Linked DNA regions of Schizosaccharomyces pombe. The protein of the gene in region 1 binds, or shares a complex with, the protein of each later gene. Each region holds a gene or a part of one and is shown in the gene's direction. Other genes may lie near its edges.

Region 1 (5,395 bases):
TAACCCTAAAGACAGTAACGGTGACCTTTTGTTTTACATTGTTTTCTTACTATTATTCGAAGACAAAGCTGAAAGAAAAAATACTTTTAGATTATACTTTCAATTAATTAACTTAACAAGCTTATAAAATTACCACTAGTTAATTGTTCGATTACCACGGGTTAAGAGAAAAGTGCTATCGAAAAGAATTATGAAACATGGATTTGTGCAATTTCTACTGCTGTTATTTACTAAAGTCGAATAGGACACAATCAAGTGGAGCTGTTTATATCGGTTCCACACCAGATCCACCTAGAGTAGGTATTTTGTGCTATTATAGGAAACTAATTTGTTTTAGCGATTGCGGCAACATAATGGGGAAATAGTTGGTGGTGCATCAAAAACTAAACACGGGCGCCCTTGGTCGATTTCATGTTTAGTTTACGGCTTTCCTAACAAAGTGTCTGCTTTAAAGTTCGAATGGAATTGGCAAAATCTGGGAATCTCGAGGTACACTAAAGATTGTGATTTCCGTTCAAAAAAACAAAAAACCATTATGTATTGTCTTAAAGGTTTAAAGCATTTGGTTGACAGTGATACGTGGAGAAGATGGCCATTAAACATCACATTTCTAAATAAAACTGCTTTCAGTAAATGGAATCAACTTGGTAAAACTTATGGTAATATCAATGTATACTTCGACGAAGAATGGTTAAATGGGTTTCACGAAAAAGTAATCCAAAAAACTTACGATCATAAATTATGTTTAAGAAAGACAATATCAGAGCCTGTTAAGTGTAACCTATGCTACGAATGTATCGAATCTGATGAATTGCGGGCTAATTGCCCTTTTACGGATTGCAATTCAATAAATCATTTAACTTGCCTTGCAAGCAGTTTTCTGACAGAAGAATGCCAGGTTCTTCCAATCGAAGGAATGTGTACAAAATGCAAAAGAGTATTGAGATGGAGAGAGTTCCTGTCTACGGTTTTCACTACTTCTTTAGAAACTGACGAACGAGATTTTGAAAGCGAAAATAGAATAGAAATCATAGATCTAGAACTAGAAAAATAGCGCCAATACTGTGTCAGCAATCTCTATAGTTAGTCTTGTTTATTCTACGGCTAGCCCATCGAAAGCAGGAGAAACGTCCATGGGTACTACCCCATCATCTTTCCATGTTTTGATAACATTTTCGATTATCTCCGTATGGTTAATGGCCAAACAAAATTGTGCATCAAATCCGCCGGCTCCAGGAACTCCCACACCAATGACACCAGGCAACTGCTCTATGTTGTCTAAAATATTTGTTTGCTTTAAAGGTTCTATGTCAACCTTTGCTTCAACGGTAATTCTTTGAAGAATACGACGAATGGATCGAAATTGACTTTGAAGTTCAGAGTCTAAGCTTTCAGAAGAAAGAAAACAGTTTTTGATGGAAAGCACTCTTGAATACAAATCATCAAAGCAATTCTTAGATTCCTCTGGATTTTCCTTTTGCCATTGCTGTACTTTTTTTACCATACCCGGTGTGCTACTGCCACCAGCTACGTCCCCCATTAGCAAACAATAAGTAGCAGGCAATTGAAATGGAACAACATCTGACCATTTTTTAGAAACTATTTTTCTCAGTTCGGTGGAAAAATTTATGTTCTTTATTTGTTCGTCGTATGGGACCAGCAGTTGTTCAATTAATTTAGGATCAAACCTTCTATAAATACAACTTCCCCAAGTGGCAGCGCCAACATCAAACCCACTTCCTACTTTTCCTTGTGCAGAACAGTGGGCAATTTGTGCCAGATTGTGAACTATGACTTTGGTTGAATCATCAATTTTGAGAGATTTGTCACCAGTGTCATCTGTTAGTCGTCTAAGACTTAAAAATAATGAACCTATAAGACTTGTAATCATAGCTGCCGAGCTTCCTAAACCAGTCTTATGTACTTGACCTAAAGTACAGTTTAAGAAATTGAATTTTGGATAGCTTGTTTGATCAGGCTTTAACTGTGGTTGGTGATAATAGGCATTATCTACCTGCAATGTAACTTGAAGATCTTGCCAGCATAAAGGTTGTCGCCCCGTGGAAAAAAAGTAGTTAATTACATAAAAAAGTGCCAGTTGAACGAAGGGGTTTGGATTTTTTTCCAATTCACAGTTTTCATATATCTGATGAACTCGAATAGGAGATACAGTCCAATCAATATTATAAAGCCATTCAGCGTTAATGAATTGAGGGCTTTTCACACGAACCGTTCCACATTTATCGTCCAAAGTCGTTGTGGAAGCGTACCCTTTGGCAGTTAAACCAATAACAAGCCCGCTGTATTGAGGATCTAAAACAATGTATCCACCAGCTATAAGTACTTTACCAGGAGCAGAGCAGGTCCTGCCAAAGACGCTAGTTAGAGATGGACAAAACAGAAAAAAAGAAAAAAGACTGGTTTCAACTTACACTTTCATGTTGATATATTTTTGTCTTGAATATGGATATCTCTATAATGTTTTGTGTGTCGTAACTTTTTTATAGGACCTGAGAAGGAAATAGAAAGGAATGTATGACTTCTATCTTACGTGATAATCTGTTGAATTTAGAGAAATGATATATCAGTCAAAGTAAAAGAGAGGATTATCTTCGAACAGTAGCTCCTGAAAAGTGTTATTCTAAAAATCAAAAAAAATAAAAAAAGAACTGATCAAAGAGTATCAAATGTTATACAGAAACTAAAGTTGCTTTGAGTAAATCAACTTTCTAAATCATTATCGTATCGTTCGTTTCGCAAGATTTGCTTGTGGAGAAAATAGTATAGAAAATTAACGTTAATTAAGGAGAGTTCGAAATCAGGAATACAGAGATTACATTAACGCATATTCATATTAGAGTATATAATTGATTGCATATAAAATAATATCTTTTACGAAAATGGAACATTAAGGTGGAAAGAAAAAAGCAAATCTTGCTATTGAAGTTTTCTGAATACCAGCGAGTTATTGATAGTATTATAACTACAATGAGAAGCCATGTAACTGAATTGGAACACGTATATTCATTCGGGTTCAACAGGAATCTTTCTATTGCCTTGAACATTCAAGGTCAGAAACACAATCCTTGATGGATAAATCATATAAAAATATATAATCAACTGTATTAACTTACATAGTCTAATATAGCGTAATGGAAGGTTGACAATAAATAACATATAACGAAATACGTTGTGCAGAATTTGCTAATTCATTTTGAATACCATCGTACTTACTTAAAAAGATACTCTGTAGAATATAGTGTTTTGTCATTCTTACTAACGAACGGTATTTAATGACTTTTGGAAGACATGTTTAATGCCAAACACTTTTTCAATTTAGGATTGGGCTTTCAATGGCTACAAAAGAGAGGTATTGGATCGTTAAAACGGCCTTATAACTTTCCAAAGCCAGTACCAGGTCCAAAGCACAAAGATGTGTTATCATTATTCGAAAAAAAGTGCCGTTCAGTATTGGATGAGCAATCTGAGCGATTCAAAATGTTTCATCGCTCGCAGCCAAATCGAGTAAGACCAGGCGCGGTTTTACTGGTTGAAAGCTACTCAAAATACCCATCAAAAGATTCAGTCAACAGATTTGCTGGTTATCTACTGCGAATTCGGCATCGTGGACCAAAAAGTTCAATCCTGTTACGAAACGTGGTAATGGGTGTTGGAGTCGAATATTTGTTACCAATTTACTCTCCACAAATTAAACGTATTGTTGTCCTCAAAGAAAATGGTCTATCTAAAAGACCTAGAAGAGCATACTTAAGTTACTTGCGTCAACCTCGCTTTCGTCTTCCACCTGTTGAATCACTGGTGCGAAAATACATTGAACAAAATCAACATAAACCTTGACACAATCATTGCAACTTCTGCAAGTAAATTTCTTTTTTTTTGCGAATCTTTCATGATTTTATTCAAGAAGCGCTGTATGATTTATAGTTCGTTTACACTCTATGTTTCCCTATCTACTTGTCTTTTTCTACAGGCTATTGCATTTAGAACTGCATTATAAGAGGCGTTGGTTGGTTTTCTGGAACAGATTTAGAGATTTGGATGTATATTTCGGCTTTAGCCTGTTTGTCAAAACACGTATTATCGATTCCATGAAACGGCAATGAATCACCTCCTTTGAGCCTTTTACCCCCTTCTCATTCTTTGAATCGACAAGTCACATGTCATTGCCATTAATTTTCCCAGATGAATTTGTGAGGCACTATGAATCAAAACCTCTACTTTTTTCTTATAAATTTGAGCTGTATGTAGGCTTGCCTCTTCATAATTCTGCGCTTTGATTATTTTGAATAATATTTGAAATTATTCATGTAAAAAAGTATAAAACTTGAGCTCAACAATATGTTATAAGCTAAAGAAGCAAAGTATCATAAATATAAAAATTTTGTTAGCATGTCGAATGTAGCCGGCTTGTTACAGTCCAATGAAAATTAGTTTTAGTTAGAAATTTTAAACTTTCAGAAAACGAAAAGATGTATAGCTAAAGCCAAATATCAACTGTAAATCTACTAACTCTTCTCTTCTTACGACATTTTGTTTTTCGCCTGAATTGTTTTCTTAATACCGTGGTAGAACGTAAAACATTAGCTAGCAAAAAACACTAATGTTTATTTAATTAGATCTCAAATACAATATACAAAGACTATGAAGGTGAAAATACTGAGTAAGCGAATATTTTGGAAATAAAATTGTTTTCTAACCACTAGGATACCATGCAATTGCTAACTGGACGTGGGATACCCCAAAAGACGACGTTTGTGGTATATGTCGTGTTCCATTCGATGGATGCTGCCCTCAATGCACAAGTCCTGGAGACAATTGCCCCATAGGTAAGAATATGTTTGTATTTATTTCCTGAATATGCTCTGCGGAGGCTTACTTGTATACTTTGCATCCTAAGGGGGTATCAGCATGAAAATTTGTTGCGCAATTGGGTTGGTTGTGTTCAAATAATCTTTAATCTAATATTCATACTTTGTTTTTGTTAAAAAGAGTTTATCATGGGCATCAGCTTTCACAGAATTAATTAAAGGCTAACTACGCTAGTTTGGGGGAAATGCAAGCATATATTTCATGCTCACTGTATTCAAAACTGGTTAGCTACTAGCGGTTCTCAAGGTCAATGCCCGATGGACCGTCAAACTTTTGTGGTAGCAGATTCTACGAATGAAAAGTCTGAAACACAATAAATACGATTGACGTATCGAATAAGACTTCCAAAGAATCCAACTCAATAGTCACGATTATTATTATTACAAACGAGATAAAGTTGGAAGCATTTTTTCGTTAACGAATAATTATTACTGTAACAATATAGAAGCATGCAGTTTCAGGAAAACCCTACTACACCATATCAAGCAAAAACTATTCAAAAAAA
Region 2 (4,413 bases), on another chromosome or scaffold:
TAGTTATTTGCTTGATTAAGCGTTGCTTTTTGTGACGAATCTCATTATAAGCAGCCTTAAATGAATGCTTGGTGTGCTTTGCTTTTTGAAAAATCGTAACCGCTGCAATCTCAGGATCCTTCGTTCTTGAACCTAGTCGCATTACTGAAGCGCCTTGATGCAATAAACGAATCAATATTTGATCGACTGCATGATTCGTTTGGCAAGCTACTAAAATCGGAAGAACATGGGAGTGAGTATTCTCAAGTAATGTTTCTATGGCTTTAAGAGTAACAAAGCTTTTACCAGTCCCTGGAGGGCCTTGAATAATGGAGAGTCTCTTAGTCAGCATGGACTGGTAAGCTTTTAACTGTGACGAGTCTAGTATATACTCGCCAGGACCGAACGGCTCAAGAGCATTTACGATTTTTTGAGAGTTATTTTTTAAGATAGAATTTATGCGTATCCTAGGATTATTTTGTATGTGTTTAGCAGTCTCCTGATTACTTTTACAGTGTACCAAGTAATCCTTCATCGGGAATGTGCTAGCAGAAAGCCTCTGTAATGAACGAAGAACATGCTTGTAAGCTTCCCAATAGCCTGAAGTAGCTTCGATCATAACATATTCTTCTCGAGGATCTAAAGAGATACTAATATCTTCAAATTTGACATCTATTTCATGAGGATGTTTATTAAGGCCACTCAAGGGCCGCGCACAGACAGTTCCAATGCGAAAAGTCTGGAAATCATCATTGCTTAATAAAACTAAAGATCCACTGATAAGACGACGACTGGTAGCCCATTTTATTTTTTTCTTAGCGCGAACACTGAAGGATAATTTTGCAGCTATAACACTGGAAGATATTGTATAGCCATCTATCCGCACATGATCATATACGGCTAACGAAGAGCCGGTAATGTAATTGGGGTTTACCTTGTACCGAAGCACACTTTCTCGTAATGGGGAAACTGCGTCCTCACGTAGCAACCGATAGTGTATAGATAAGTAATCTTCAAAGGACTTGTATCCTCCGTATATGTTGTTTGAAGGTAATTCAACACTCTTTGACGTCAATTCTTCCAACGTTGGAATTGATGGTAGTTCCCGCCAAGAAGAAGTATCGCTTGCGGGATGGTGTTCGTTTTCGAATTCTCTATTTTTTCCCGATGTTATATCATTTCTCTTTACATTACTCAATTCATAATCGTTGTCAATGCTTCTCTTACGACGTATTGACTTGTTTTCTTTTAAATTTTTATCAACTTTGTTCCCCTCCGAGTCTTGGGTTTTGGAGGTTTCAGAAGTCTCGATTTGTTCTGTGAAACTCGTAGTATTATTATCGGCGTTAAAGATGTTGCTATACAATGGGTGTCTTTTCATTTCACTTAAAGTTTCTGGCTCGGGGATTTCATCAAACACAACTTCTGTATTTTTGTTCACCATTTCCCAGGCGTCCAGCGTACTTAACTTCCAAATTTCATCTTGTACTTGTTCCATAATAAAAAAGAAAAGGATAATATCCAAAAAATTTCAAAAGGTTATTGTACTAAAATATCTCAGTACGCGCCCACTAGGTCGTAATATTAATCTCGTCCTCCCCAAAGAAGCTAAAAGATATCATAAATAACAATTCATGTACAGTCTCTGCACCTGTCTCTAATATTATTTGTCTAACATACAAATGGGTTGTTTGTTTACTGCCAAGGGCCGTTTTCTGTCTTTACGTGACCATGCATTTAACGCGTTCAGATAATACCCGCAATGTGCAGCTTAGTGTGCCAGCATAAAGCATGTAAGCATGTGTTAACATCGTTGTAAAGTTACCTTATCGTAGTTTATCCATCCTTGAAATAGATTTACAAACTGAGTAGCTTGCATAGTGATAGTGAGCTCTCTCATTTAAGATTTTTATAACTGTATAAGGAGGGAAATGCTAACTGACCTATAACATAGTACAGTTAGCAATTCGTTAGGTTGCAATTCCTATTAGTACCACCTTGGCATGTAATATTTACCTGGTTTTGTTACAACATTGAGAAAGCGCATTTGCTCAAATTAGTCGAAAACGTTGACTTCTATGTGTGGAAGGAATATTTGGGAAAAAATTTTTAAGATTTAATTATGAAATACATTAATCAATTTATGAAAATATCAAAGGGCTTTTTAGTTCCATCGTCCACGATAGGATTGAATTCTAAAACGTACCATTACAAATTTCCATTACTTTCTTTTGTTAGAGAATTTTCAAATGGATCCTACTTAAGGGAGTCTGCACAAAATCCTGCAAATTTGGGTTCGCAAAAAGGGTCCGACATTTTCTCAATGCTTGCTAACCAGAAGGACGATTCTAATCGTCAGCAAAAGGAAGAGCGTGTAAAAGAGAGACCAAGGTCACGTATTTCTTTCAAAAAACAGGAGACCATGGATCCTTCCTACACCTTACAATCAATGGTGCTTCGCTCCTCTTTAAAGAAAGTCGGCGCTTTGTGTCGTCAAATTGCCCATAAGCCATTTTATCATGCTTTACTTCAAATGAAAATGTCAGATAAAAAAATTTCCAAGTACATCGCAACTGCTTTGGTTTCTGCTCGAGAAAACGCTGTTCGTGAAGCTGGTCTTGATGAGAGTACTCTCTACGTTGATCAAATATGGGTTGGAAAGGCAAAGTATTTAAAGAAACTTATCACTATGGGCCGTGGAGGTCGTGCCATTGAGAGATCTCCACGGGTTCGAGTTACTGTTGTTTTAAGAGATGAGCGAGCTCTCTTGCGCGATTTACAGCGTCGTCAACAAAGACTAGAAAGAAAGAAAGTTTGGACGCCTCTGCCTAACCGACCAATATACCTAAAATCTAACTTTTTCACTTGCTAAGTCATTATTGAGATGCCCATATCTTTGATACTCTAATAATATTTCCCCCCAATATCGTTTATAGTAATTCTAGTGCCGTTTTTTTTTTATGAGAATATGGTTTCCCTTATTATTTATTTCTTTAGCAACGCCATAATTTTGTATTTACCTCTATGGTGCTGATGGTATCAGTAGAAAAATAGTACTGTAAAAAGGTAAACTAACCAACCTGTACATACATCACTTTTAGTTCAATGATACGTTTTCGTAAAGAACGCAATTCTTTTTAAACTGTCTAATCTTATTAAATCATTCATGCAATCGTTTGCCTCATTAACATTTTTCAAATTTGGTTTGAAGCATTGCAACGAGCTTCTTTTTTTGACTTTTCAAAACGTGCTTTGGACCATATGTTGAAGCTATCCATATCTCTTCACCATTTTGACACATATTTATTGGTTCTAAATTCATCAGACACTTTTAAACAATCAAGCAAACCGAGTATAAAATATCATTAATTCCCCAATTATTAGGTGTAAAGGTACGCTGGATCCGCATTTTAACTCATTTGCAGTAGCAAATGATCAGTAGGAAAAAAAAGGAAACAAACCGCATCAAATAGACAGTAATTCTTTTTAATGGGCCATAATGAAAAAATAAGTTGAGATAGTAAATGTATCAACTATATTAACTTGAACCACAACAATGAGTTTTTTTTTTTAAACTGTGGGTAAAAATTAATTTAGAGAAAATCAGTGTTTTCATTTAAGAATGTTTGGAAATAGAAAAAAAAATTTCGCATATTTAAACAAGACGTTTTGCAGGGTCATATGTTGCTAACCCCAATTTAAAAACATATTGAAAACATGCGATAAGCACAGAGAAAATAAAAAATATGATAACTATCAATAATAATGCATAATTTAATAAAACATTTCAAGCTTTTTGTAAATTTTTCGACGGCATTCATTTTAATCATCCATTTGGAATGGCGTCTCTTCTTCCACCGTACTATTCCACGGAGGAGAACTATTAGCAACGGTTATACGTGATACGCTATTATTGGTACTCACGACAGGATCATTTTTTGTATCACCAAGACCAGCGATGGTTTCCGGAGATGCTGTATCACTTCTAAAAATAGGCTCGCTCTTCAATCGAGCAAGACTCACAGGTCTTGAACCTTCAGTGGTTGGCGAGCTGAAGACGGCCTCTTCACGAACACTAAAACCTGAAGGTAACTTATAAGAGTTATTGACACTAGTGGCTAAGGGCGTGGTAGACATTGAACCCGAACCTTCAACATAACGAGACTTGGAGAAGTATGCGCCGAACCTACTACTGTTTAACGAATTCATAGTAGAGCTGGTCCGAGTACTTAAACCAGGACTTTTCAAGGAAGAAGTGTACTGCTTAAAGCTTGAACTTAATCGATTGATAGGTGATGAGCCCAAAATGCTTTCATCAAAGCTTCCTAAAGGCGTACTTAAAAAGCGCTGCTCCTCATCACTAACGTCCATTTGATGATTCAAATCTACTTTAGTGGGCAAGCTAGCACTAACCACTGAAGGAAATGCGCCAGC
Region 3 (3,809 bases), 1.6 Mb from region 1:
CTCCTATTATTAAAACGCTTTTAGGCTTGAGTGACATATTCATAGTGAAATTTACGCTCAAATATCTTCATTGAAAGTTTATTCTACTGAATATGCTTAAGTGTAAGTATTTGGTCCTTTAAATTGAAGATAATTATATATGAGCCACATAAATATTATTCTCATGTTAGAAAAAAAAATTCTTGCTTTATTTATTTGAGTATTTCCATATGCTAAAACACTCTGTATCATAAAGTCGTCTTCAGCATTCTCACTTCAAAAACTTGTATCCTTTTCAATACTCCATAATTAATAATAAAATAAAGGAACAAAATAACAATAAAATCGTTCATTATTCATTCTTTATCGCTTGAATTTCCTTCCCATGTAGGCTCCCCTTTTAACCTCTTTACACGTTTATTTTCGTACTCCTCGTTCTGTAGATTCAACTGATCTAATAAGATCCTCTATAACAGGTGGTTAATAAAAAAGGAACTGGTGAATGTAAATTCACGAAAAGCAAATGCACTTTGCAGCTGGTTGCCAAAACTTAAATATTGTAAAACAAGATCAGCACTTTACTTACATAATATTCTTCATTAACGTCGACCTTTCTTCTTCTTTTAATAATGTCTAACTCTGCATCCCGGGACAAGGATTTAACTTGTTCATCTCGTCTGTTAAATTTGACTTGGGAAATGGGGATCAAGCATGACCAGACTAATAATACTGAGCTCAAAAACGGCAATCCAACGTAAATAAACGGACTTTTCTTGGCTTGAAGCCTATACCAACTTTTAAATCGATAGAAAAGCATTTTAATTTATTAACATCCTTACATTCGCTGAAAACGATGGATTGTTAAGAATGTGTAGTAAATAGCAAGTTGGTTAAGATGATTATGGCAAACTTCACTCAGCATGTTAGGATGGAAATTAATAAGATAGTCGTTGGTTTGTAATAATTAATTTTAAGAGTAGAGTTTTAATAGAAATCTGCACTTTGAAATCTTTTTATTTCTACTAATTATTCAAGCTGCATCGCGTGACAGCATTCCTACATAGCCCAAGCACTTCAGGTGAAAACCCTTTATAGTTTTAATTACAATACACATTAGGAAAAAGAAACATATCGATGGCATGTGCTAGTGACAGACTGTGACTTCCAGTAAACATGTGTTTTACTTTGTTTACCATAAAATGGTATGTAAAATGTTTATTGAAAGTAATAAAATAGCTGAGAAAAGACCATTTAATTTCAGCTTGTGATTCAAATGAAATAATCATGCTTTTTAGTTAGGATATTTGCCAATCCCTAAAAACTTAATATATTAATTGATAGTAAGGAGTTAACTTTGAAAAGCTATGTAGCTAAATTTTGGTTTGCTTCTTTTAAACGGCTTCAATTCAGCGCTATTGTTGTTCAACAAATGAAAAATTTTGCGACATTTTAACTAATCCGTATTTGAGATTCAAAAATCAACTAAAATTTTTCAAAAAAATCCTAAAACGAACAACGTTTATGAAAACGTCTTTTCCATTTATCTGAGTTGCCTATTTAATGTCAATACTTTTACTTCTATTCAATCAAGCAGAAGAGAAGGACACATTTGGTCTATTCGGGAATTTTTCTGACTGCTATTAAAAGCTTTAATATTACAAATAAGTAAACACATTACAATTAATTCACCCAAATATTTCAAATTAGTTATTATTCTAATTACAATTATTTTTAAGGAAGAACATGTTACTTTATTGCATGAGAGACATACAACTTACAACTGTATTTTCTTCTTTAACCTTATGGCTTCTACTAGAACGACAATCATAAAATTAATTGTACCGGCAGGAAAAGCTACGCCTACGCCTCCAATTGGACCTGCCCTTGGTGCTCGCGGGTTGAAGAGCATAGACTTTTGTAAAGAATTTAATGCGCGGACGGCAGGTTGGATGCCAAATACCCCAGTGCCTTGTAAAATTACTGTCACACCTCAAAGAACATTTACTTTCACTATACATACTCCTCCAACCAGTTGGTTAATCTCTAAAACCCTCGACCTTGAAAAAGGTTCAAGTTCCCCATTACATGATATAAAGGGACAATTAAGCTTGAAGCATATATATGAAATTGCCAAATTGAAAAGTACTGATCCAAGCTTACAAGGAATAGAGCTTCTTTCTCTTTGTAAAAGTGTCATTGGAACAGCTAAAAGCATGGGCGTCAAAGTCGTACCTTAATCTTATGAGACGCCAGAGCATTTTGTAACTGGTCATACTTGAGGTTATTTTTTTTTCTATCTTGTTATAAACTATTCCCCTCTTTTTTCTTGAATAAAAGCAGTTAATGATATGACTTTTTACTATTACCGACTAAAACGTTGTCCCTGTTTTCTTATTTTCTCCTTTTCTTAGTTGTTTTATATTATTCCTTCGTTAAACAAGCAAAGTAAAAAAACACGTTTGCCATATAAAATTAAAGAATTGCATACCGTTAGTTTACAAACACATCTTAGACTAAATGATTACCTTTAGCATTAAACTATCAATATAGATAACGAAACAGATATGCTAAGCAGAAAAGAAAATGAAGATTTTCAAGTGTGAGTTTTATGTTTACTCTAAGTCACGCCTTATGAAATGCAGCTCAATAAAAGAGAGCCTCAAACTCTGTCTATCTATCAAAAAATAAGAAAAAAAAAACCAAGATTAGTACTGCAGAAACGCTCGAAAATAAAAGAAATGGCTTATGCTATAGGGAGGCATAATTGATGCTTGGCTTGAATAACAGCATCACGATCACCAGTATTTTTCATGATATCGTCACTAATCTTCACTGCTTTAGTTCCTTCAGCGGAAAAAAGCTTAATAACAATATTCATAGGTTTGCTCACTTCACTGGGATTGGAAACTTTTTGGAAGTCGCTGGTAAGATTTGTGCCGATGCCAAATGCAGACTTAATGCCACATTTCTCGCAGTATTTGTACAGTTCGATACATCTGTCAACATTTAAAGCATCGCTATGAACAATTACTTTTGTGGAAGGATCGACACCTATTGATTTATAGTGCTTTACGACTTTTTCAATGTATTCCTCAGCACAACCGCTATCTTGACGAACACCATGGAAAACATTGGCTAAATCGTCGGCAGAATTGGCTGTAAAAGATTTGAGAAACACATCAGTAGAGAATGTATCCGTTAAGGCTATTAAAAGACTAGTACCAAAAGTTTGGACCCACTTTAAGGAAGCAATACGATTTGCTTGTTTATAATTTTGAGTAATAGCTGCAATGCCCATATACCACTCGTGAGCAACCGTACCAGAGACATTTAGATTATATTTGGCGGCGAAGTAAACATTAGATGTACCAAGGAAACTTCCAGGGCCCTTAAAATCCTCTTGTGCTTTCATGAGACCTTGGAGAACAATTTCCTGGGTGTGAGGATCACGACGACGACGAGTGCCAAAGTCAGTAAAGGCACATCCGGCTCGGATGAGACGCTTACCCTTCTCGTAAGCTTTTTCAAACTGACCCTCAGGTGACCAGTCCTTATCGACAAATTTAAAATAAGATTCTGAGACGAGAGCAAGCAGTGGAATTTCATAAAAAATGGTATTCTTCCAGAGGCCGTGAATAAAGATTGAGAGATCCTTAGTTTCAGAATCATAATTAAGGGAAATTGAATTTTCAGGATCAAATTCGAACTCATGCATGAATTCATAAAATGATTCCTTTAAATAAGGACAGTTCTTGCGAAGCCATTGCTCTTCTTCAGGAAGTAAATGTAAATTCCGTAAGCCTCTTATTTGTTCCCGTAACCAGTTATAA

Evidence for each region. Proteins that work in one complex are often made in the same cells at the same time.
Region 2: img1 (region 1) and mrpl22 share a complex: the UniProt entries of both Schizosaccharomyces pombe proteins name them as parts of the mitochondrial large ribosomal subunit.
Region 3: img1 (region 1) and mrpl19 share a complex: the UniProt entries of both Schizosaccharomyces pombe proteins name them as parts of the mitochondrial large ribosomal subunit.

The regions. Positions count from the first base shown.
Region 1 is NC_003424.3:1,638,446-1,643,840, forward strand, and holds img1 (mitochondrial 54S ribosomal protein bL19m), read left to right. Parts: upstream 1-3,249; 5' UTR 3,250-3,309; coding exon 3,310-3,858; 3' UTR 3,859-4,487; downstream 4,488-5,395. Other genes in the region: structure-specific endonuclease catalytic subunit Slx1, read left to right, coding at 198-296, 338-1,054; erg8 (phosphomevalonate kinase), read right to left, coding at 1,094-2,366, 2,433-2,440; anaphase-promoting complex ubiquitin -protein ligase E3 subunit Apc11, read left to right, coding at 4,663-4,681, 4,725-4,847, 5,065-5,207. UniProt on the Schizosaccharomyces pombe protein: Component of the mitochondrial ribosome (mitoribosome), a dedicated translation machinery responsible for the synthesis of mitochondrial genome-encoded proteins, including at least some of the essential transmembrane subunits of the mitochondrial respiratory chain.
Region 2 is NC_003421.2:2,026,719-2,031,131, reverse strand, and holds mrpl22 (mitochondrial 54S ribosomal protein uL22m), read left to right. Parts: upstream 1-1,997; 5' UTR 1,998-2,101; coding exon 2,102-2,851; 3' UTR 2,852-2,958; downstream 2,959-4,413. Other genes in the region: helicase Hrr1, read right to left, coding at 1-1,477; SPOM_SPCC1739.01 (zf-CCCH type zinc finger protein), read right to left, coding at 3,802-4,413. UniProt on the Schizosaccharomyces pombe protein: Component of the mitochondrial ribosome (mitoribosome), a dedicated translation machinery responsible for the synthesis of mitochondrial genome-encoded proteins, including at least some of the essential transmembrane subunits of the mitochondrial respiratory chain.
Region 3 is NC_003424.3:3,204,507-3,208,315, reverse strand, and holds mrpl19 (mitochondrial 54S ribosomal protein uL11m), read left to right. Parts: upstream 1-1,775; 5' UTR 1,776-1,781; coding exon 1,782-2,216; 3' UTR 2,217-2,354; downstream 2,355-3,809. Other genes in the region: cytochrome c oxidase assembly protein Cox16, read right to left, coding at 336-446, 566-796; npt1 (nicotinate phosphoribosyltransferase), read right to left, coding at 2,723-3,809. UniProt on the Schizosaccharomyces pombe protein: Component of the mitochondrial ribosome (mitoribosome), a dedicated translation machinery responsible for the synthesis of mitochondrial genome-encoded proteins, including at least some of the essential transmembrane subunits of the mitochondrial respiratory chain.